Medicago truncatula: one gene and its partner. The main gene of each other region encodes a partner of the protein of the gene in region 2 in a complex. Links are inferred from orthologs where the notes say so. Each region holds a gene or a part of one and is shown on either strand. Other genes may lie near its edges. The genes, in order: transcription initiation factor TFIID subunit 10 and transcription initiation factor TFIID subunit 15b.

Region 1 (3,928 bases), on a different chromosome or scaffold from region 2:
TACCAGGAAATTAATATATATACATGCATAGCATTATAATTGAGGGTGCATGTAAACAAATATTATCAATTAGTGGTAACAAGGAGTTAATTTCGTCCCTTCTAAATCAAGACAAATTTTCTTACCTCACGCAGTGCCTTCGATAGATCTTCCATCGTCAAGACAAGGCGCCTATCCTGTCATAATGAAGTGTCAGTACTAGACACACACAGTGAACGCGTATGGACAAAACCAGATTAAAATCAGTCAAGACTCAAAACCTTCTGTTGTCTGTCCCTTTTGTCTTTTGGAATTGTTGCTTGCCTTGCTTTGCAGTGCCTACAGTTAACGTCAAGTGAAATCACTATATGACTGAGATCAAGGAGATAGTAATGCATTTGCAAAAGAAGGGGACATAAGCACAAAAATTAAGTTGTTGTGTGTGTACATTTATTTATGGACCTATACAAAAGAAGGGGATAGAAGCATAAACATTAAGTTGCCAAGTTCCAAATGAATTTGATTAAATTTGGGTGTCTAATCCTACAAAGTGCCTTCGACACACATTCATTAAGGAAAGGAAAAATTCCATCCGACACTGGTCGACTTCATCCACATGCATTGACAACGTTTTTGCCAAAAGTCAATCATTGAAATCTATTTCTAGTTTACCAAAAGACTTTTGGGAAACTAGAAATAGATTTCAATGGTACACTATTCCCCAAATTTACTGTGCACATATATATAATTGGCTGCAAAGCAGTCATTCAAGTTAAATAAAACAAAAAAAGAAGGTTAAGATTCAATAAATAGAAAGGGAAAAATGAATATACTGGAGGGCATCGCCTGCGACCTCTGCAACAAATTTCTGAGTGGCAACAGCTACCAATCTAGTCCTGAAACATCGGTATAAGAACAAAAGATGAAATGGCCAAGAATCAAACTTAAGTAAATCAATAAAAGAAGTCAACCAAAATGGAAGAAATGTTGAATCCTAAAAGGACCTACCATATTCACAAGCACCCATGTACAAATTTACTAGAGGTAAAAAACAATAGAAAAACAGCAATAATTACAAACTCAAATAAATCCCAAGGTTAAAAAAAGAAGAAAACAAAGGCTAGAAAGTCCGAGCAACAGCAATTGCATACATTATCGTTCTTTAACTTAAATTAAACTAGTTTAACTGACAACCTTGGTTTCACACTGCAACCTGATCAAATAGATTCCATGTACATATAGGATTCCCAGTAAATGGTAAGAAAGATGCACATAGATAAAGACACGAATCAAGGTCTTATGTATAAAAATATAACAGAACAAAAACAAACTGCTATGCTAATCTCTTGTATCTATATTCTATAATTTTGTTTCAAATGACATATAACATATATCCAATATTTTCATACAGCTTAAAGAACTCTAAAATGATGGTAGAGGCTCAGACTCAGAATGGTCCAACTCCAAGGCATAAAAGAACTAGCTTTCTCACATGAAATTCAATATTTTCTCAAACTATGGAAGCATAAAAGAACATTAAGTTACTAGATTGGTAAAAATGGTGAATGAAAAAGAAAAGAGGTACCCACAATCTCACATCAGGACATTGAAAGCCACTCTTGGCCAAGTAATGCTCCACCAACTCATCAGGTATCTAAAACAGTATATAAAAAAAAGTAATTAATATGGATGGATGCAAGTAAAATTAAATTTAAAAATAAAATAAAATAGTGAAAAGTGAACTGACAGTAGGAGTATAATCAACTAAGGAAGCTAGGAAATCGGAGAGTGCAGAATCATCATCTGCCCTTCCTTCGCTTGAACTTGATTGTGGCTGATTCTGATTCATCTTCTGGTCAATCGCTATCCACTTACTCACTGCTCTTGTTCCCATCAACATTCAAAATTCAATTTTTTTGAAAAAATCAAAATCAACAATAACATTAACATTAACATTTCCAATCTCAATAATAATAGAGCAACTCATAACACAAACTCAACACTCCTGATCGAAGGCGTGTTTGGTGTCTGACATATGTTTGTGTCCGACACAGACACAACAACGACACATGTCCATGTCCGACACAACAATGACACATGGATTACATTCAGTTATGTCATTTTCTTAAATTATTACAACTGTCGATGTGTTAGTGTCAGTGTTGTGTCTGTCTGTGTTGGTGCTTCACATGTGAAAGGCAGGGGTTGGAGCATTAACTAATTAACTAACATAAAACGATGCACACATTAACTAACTAACATTTGTTACATAGAATACACAAACTGAATGATTAAAGAAAAAACACCAAATTGAATAATTTGAAAGAAAAACAAATTAAACACACAATAAGTAATAAAAATTACAATAGAATTAACAAAATGAACTTTCATAGATGTTCATATCGTTAGCAGTAGCAACAAAATTTAATAGCAAGAAAAATTGAGGAAATTTTTCTGTTCTCCATGGTTTACCATAAAAGTAGCACGAAAAAATAAACTCTAAGGCTTACCCAGAAAAGTGAAAACAGGCGGAGACACGATTGAAGGCGGAGAAAGAGGCGGAGACGGTGGCGAATACTAAACCGGATCGGGTTCTCGTGTGTTCCTGAAATGTGATTTTGTTTTTATATAATGGGTTTTCCGTCGGGCATCTCAAATGAATCGGATCAACGTGGTTACATTATACTATCTCCGTCCTTAATTATAAGGTCATTTTAAAAAAATAACGGGAACTAAGATAGTAGATATTTGTATTAAATACGTTTGTAATTACTATTGTTTTTACAATTTTATCCTTTAAGAAAAAAAAGAGGGTTGGTTTATGTTTTCAACATTCTATTTATTGCTGATTGAAGAAAAAGATGTATAATAAATAGGGGTATGTAAAGAAATAATTAATGTAGTTGGAAATAGAAAATGGGTCTTATAAAAAGGAAAAAAAAATCTCAAAAAAGTCTTATTAGGGACGGAGGTAGTACATTTTTTCGACAAAAATAAACTTTTTTAACATTCCCCTAAAAAAATTACTTTTTTAACATAAAAAAATATAGTAAAAAAAAAAAAACAAATACTCCATGCGTCTCAAATTGTACGTCGCTTTAAGGAAAAAAAATTTAGAGTAAATTACACTCCGCTCTCCTCAAAGATGCTTGAATTACACTCTCATCCTCTCTTATGTTAAAATTTACATTCCCCTCCATTGAAAAGTAAATTTGATAATCCCCTTAAGTTAGTTGTTTATAAATATAAGGTCAAATATCATCCTTGGTCCTTAAGTAAGTTGTTTATAGCTAATTAGTCCTTCAACTTTTTTGTCTTGAATAAATTGGTTTTTAAGTCATAAAAAAATTACAATGTTACCATTTTTCATTCAAATGCTTTAAAAAGTCTTTACGTTAATATTGAGATGATAAGTCCAAAAAGTGTTCATTACACCAAACATGATTACTTACATACATTTTCTCCTTAATGTTTTTAGGGATGGGTGATATTTTGAATGTTTTTTATATGACTAAATACTACCATCATACTATTTTATGAGGTAATTTGAAAAACTAGGACCATAGTTTATTTCAATTGTGATGTTTTTATTGTCTTTTCATAGTTAAAGTGCAGGTAATGGGTGTGGGTATGGGCACTTAGGTACCCATAGCGTATGGAGAAGGACGATAAAGTTGTTGCTCACCAAGGTGCGGATACAGGTACTTTTTACAAATGCGGGTATGAGAAAGGGCACTGTAGTACCCTACTCATAGGGTACCCATTGCTATTCCTAAATGTTTTCGAATTCAAATCTAATTTTACAATAAATGTTTCGTAAACAACATTACATATCAAGTAATGAGACACATGCCCGAACTTGGGGCTGCGCAAGCAGCTCAACCAAGCCAGACCTCCAAAAGTTACGGGCCTAAAAAAAAAATTAAGTCTAATACACACACCACACTTA
Region 2 (3,928 bases):
TAAAATAAAAGATATGGATAGAGATTGAATGAGTGAACACTTTTGAGTTATTATGACAATAACCCATGTTTTCGATCCAAATCTACAACGTTAGCATATCATTCATCTCCAACAGATAGATCCAGTGTGTAATGCATACCCATGGTTATTTGCTGGAGGAGCCCTTGGTGCAGATTTCTCTGCCATTGCAACACCGATTTTGTAACCCCTCAAATCATAATCTGAAAATGCAGAATCGTGATTAGTTCAACTTTGTATGAGAAATAATATCAATGTATATAGCAAGAAAAAAGCAGTTACAAGAAGTACCGTTGTAAAAACCACCAGCAGAGTGAGCTGCAGAGGGATCTTCGTAAGCAAGGCATGCATCACCCTTGTTTTTTCCATTTTCATCAGTGTAAATTTTAATGTTGTAAGGCCATTGATCTTTATAACCCCTCTTCTGCTTTATTCTTCCAACCTAGGCAGTTAAAACACATGTAACAGAACGTCTAGAATGGTGAGGCAGCTGATACTTCCCAAAGAGAACGAAAAAATAAACCTGCTACCCATTTTTGCTTTTATTCTTCTAACTTAGGCAGTTAAAACACATGTAACAAAATGTCTAGAATGTTGAGGCCTTTTTTTTGGTGTGTGTGGGGGGGAGATAGAATGTTGAGGCCTCTAATTCTTCGCAAAGAGAATCAAAAAATAAACCTATTACCCCTTTCTGCTTTATTCTTCCAACCTAGGCAGTTAAAACATGTGTAAAAAACGTCTAGAATGTTCAGGCCTATTTATTTTTTGGTGATAGAATGTTGAGGCCTCTAATACTTCTCAAAGAGAATTAAAAAAAATAAACCTATTTCCCCTTTTCTACTTTATTCTTCCAACATAGGAAGTTAAAACAAATGTAACAAAATGTCTAGTATGTTGAAGCCTCGTATGAAAATATAAACCTATTAGCACAAGTACAACAGGATTATATTTCTTACACAAAGCACAATTCAATATGTATTATGTATCAGACTGAGAACTTGAATTTACTCTGAAATTGGCACTTTCATATAAAATATCCATTCGTGATAAAAATATTGCGACAAATAAAAAGTGCAAAGTCAACAGATCAGAACATTACTTGTCCAATGCCTCCAAAAAGTTGCTGCAATTCATCAACAGTCACATCGGGTGGTAAATTTGAGATATAGATTCTAGAGTTGTCACATGTATCTCCACAATTCTCATCGCACTGCTTCACCGGAGCCGCTGGAGCTGGCTCAGCAGGAGCTCCACCAAATCCACCACGATTACCACTGTCATATCCAGCTTGAGGCACAGCCCTGCCACCACTCCGTGCATCACCTCCACCATAACCACCCGTGTTACCCCCATATGAAGGAGGATATGAATTAGGTCCACCGGTATAACTTGTAGGTGGAGGAACGGCATCTGTTCCATAATTTGCATTCCCACCATAGGTAGGTGGATAGTTTCCACCAGCACCACCATAAGACTGAGCAGCAGCAACAGGAGGTGCTTGACCATAGCCACCATCTTCTCTGCCTTGATTCCCGCCATACGAGCCACCCCTATTGCTCCCTCCACTTCTTCCATCATTGTTATTACCCCTTCCACCATTATAATCACTAGTTCTACCTCCATAGTTCTCAGACCTACCTCCTCGGTTACTGTCATATCCTCCACCACTTCCTCCTCTATTATACCCACCGCCGCCGCCGCCGCCACCGCGGTCATTACCACTGGTAGGACATGGGGTACCACATTTGTTACATTCACTCCTTCTAGCGAAGTTATTGTTCCCACAACTATATAAATAACAATATTGAATCAGATAAGAAACGTAAGAATCAAATCAACAGCAATAAAGTTAAGTGAAAAAATAAATCATTAATTTAGTCCCTAAACTATCACTCTCTCCGATTTAGCACCTAAACTATGTAAACATAATAAGTATTTCCTAAACTTTGTGAACTTCGTCAATTTATTCCCTAAAGTACATAAAATCCATCAAGTTAGTCTCTAAACTATGTAAATATAATAAGTTTTCCCTAAGCTATATGAAACCCATCAATTTAATCCTTAAACTATGTAAATATAATAAGTTGTCCCTAAACTATATAAAATTCGTTAATATAGTCTCTAAATGTACATTAAAATCCGTCCTTTTTGCCCCTAATATCTTAAGTGCAGGAACTAAACTGATGGGCTTTACATAATTTAGGACTACTAATTATATTTACATAGTTTGGAGACTAAATTGATTGTTCATTTTAATAAAAAATACTAGTGAAAATCATAAATTTTTGGCAGAAAAAAATCAAATACCTTTCGTTAGGGCAACGCCAATCTCCATCTCTGCCACTTCCACCACGGCCACCACCTCCACCTCGGCCACCGCGATCTCCACCTTGAAAACCGCCACCGCCACCTGTTTAAGTTCACATCAATCCACAGAAATTAAAGACACGATAAGATTGAAAATTAACTAAAAAAGAAAACAAATTACAGATCAAAATAACAAACCTCGACCTCCATATCCTCCACCACCACCACCACCTCCTCTACCGCCACCACCTCTTCCACCATATCCTCCGCCATCGTTTCCACCATATCCACTCCTTCCACCGTAACCTCCACCATCGTTACCTCCATATCCTCTACCACCACCGTTTCCGCTTCCTTTCGCTGCGTAACCACCACCGCTTTCATTCCCAGCATATCCACCAGCATAGCCACCACCTCCTCCGCCTCCGTAACCACCACTAGCACCATAGGAAGGTGGCGCAGAGCCACCTCCGGCATCGTGACCGTACCCTCCAGACATGATTCGATCTAGGGTTCGCTACTACCACAAGAGAGAAACTGAGATTTTTTTGTGTAGTGAAGCTTCTGAAATATTATTGTAGAATGTAACTGTGAAATATTGGGCCTTTCCGTTTTAACAAAGGAAGAAACTTTTTGCACCCTTGTTATTTCTATTACACCCTCCTAAATTATTATTCTACACTTTGTATTTTTGTTTCTTGACTTACACTTTGTATTTAGGCTAAACGGCACTTTTCACCCCCTAAGTTTCTAAATGTTGCGATTTTGACCCCCTATTAAAAAAATGGCAAAAATGACCCCATCTTTAGGGAAATATGCTCTTTTGACCCCTAACATAAGAGAAATATGTTTTTTGACCCCTTATCTTTACAAAAAGTTGCGATTATGGCCCCTTTTTTGGGGCACGTGGCACCTTCTCGGCAATTTTTGGACGAAAGGGGCCAAAGTCGCATTTTTTTTAATAGGGGGTCAAAATCGCAACATTTTAAAACTTAGGGGCGAAAAGTGCAGTTTAGCCTTGTATTTATTATGATAATAGAAATACCACAATCGTTAACTAGGTTAATTTTGTAAATATTTTTTATTTTATTATTTATAACTTCATACAAGAAAATGGGTTCGTTATTGTGAGAAGGTTGGAGTAACTTTTTCCTAGGTTTGCCAATGGCACGAGATTTTTCATGTTGTGCACTTGTGGCATCAGCTAGCTAGGATCAAAATATATATTTTTGGATGAAGCATTGTTGGAACAATATTAATAAAATAATTTAAATTTTATTTTTCATCCAAATAAGAGATTGTTGATATAAGTCACTATTTATGTCACTTTTTTTAAGACGTTTTATGACATGATTCAAAAATCAATTTTTCTTTAAAATCTACTTACCGAAGTCATCAATTTATACATTAAACAAAAAATTTGAAAAACTCATCCTACAACAAAAATAGGCCTCACGGCCAACAATACAAAAAGAGGGAAGTAAAACTTGTCTCCAGATACAATTTTATGTTCATTAATATAAGATCACGGTGATTCAAATTTAAGATCAAATAAAAATCTTTCATGTGAAAACTAAGAAAAATGCTAATGAGTGTCTTCAGA

The links.
Region 1: transcription initiation factor TFIID subunit 15b (region 2) and transcription initiation factor TFIID subunit 10 share a complex: the UniProt entries of both Arabidopsis thaliana proteins name them as parts of the TFIID complex. The link is inferred for Medicago truncatula from reciprocal best matches to the Arabidopsis thaliana genes TAF15b and TAFII15.

What each region holds. Positions count from the first base shown.
Region 1 is NC_053048.1:37,499,161-37,503,088, forward strand, and holds the start of transcription initiation factor TFIID subunit 10, read right to left. Parts: upstream 2,650-3,928; 5' UTR 2,490-2,649; intron 1,863-2,489; 5' UTR 1,829-1,862; coding exon 1,727-1,828; intron 1,634-1,726; coding exon 1,569-1,633; intron 876-1,568; coding exon 813-875; intron 319-812; coding exon 261-318; intron 177-260; coding exon 126-176; intron 1-125. UniProt on the Arabidopsis thaliana protein: TAFs are components of the transcription factor IID (TFIID) complex that is essential for mediating regulation of RNA polymerase transcription.
Region 2 is NC_053044.1:29,930,532-29,934,459, reverse strand, and holds the start of transcription initiation factor TFIID subunit 15b, read right to left. Parts: upstream 2,892-3,928; 5' UTR 2,825-2,891; coding exon 2,524-2,824; intron 2,429-2,523; coding exon 2,326-2,428; intron 1,806-2,325; coding exon 1,118-1,805; intron 728-1,117; coding exon of another isoform or gene 605-727; exon of another isoform or gene 545-604; intron 461-544; coding exon 310-460; intron 222-309; coding exon 140-221; intron 1-139. UniProt on the Arabidopsis thaliana protein: TAFs are components of the transcription factor IID (TFIID) complex that is essential for mediating regulation of RNA polymerase transcription.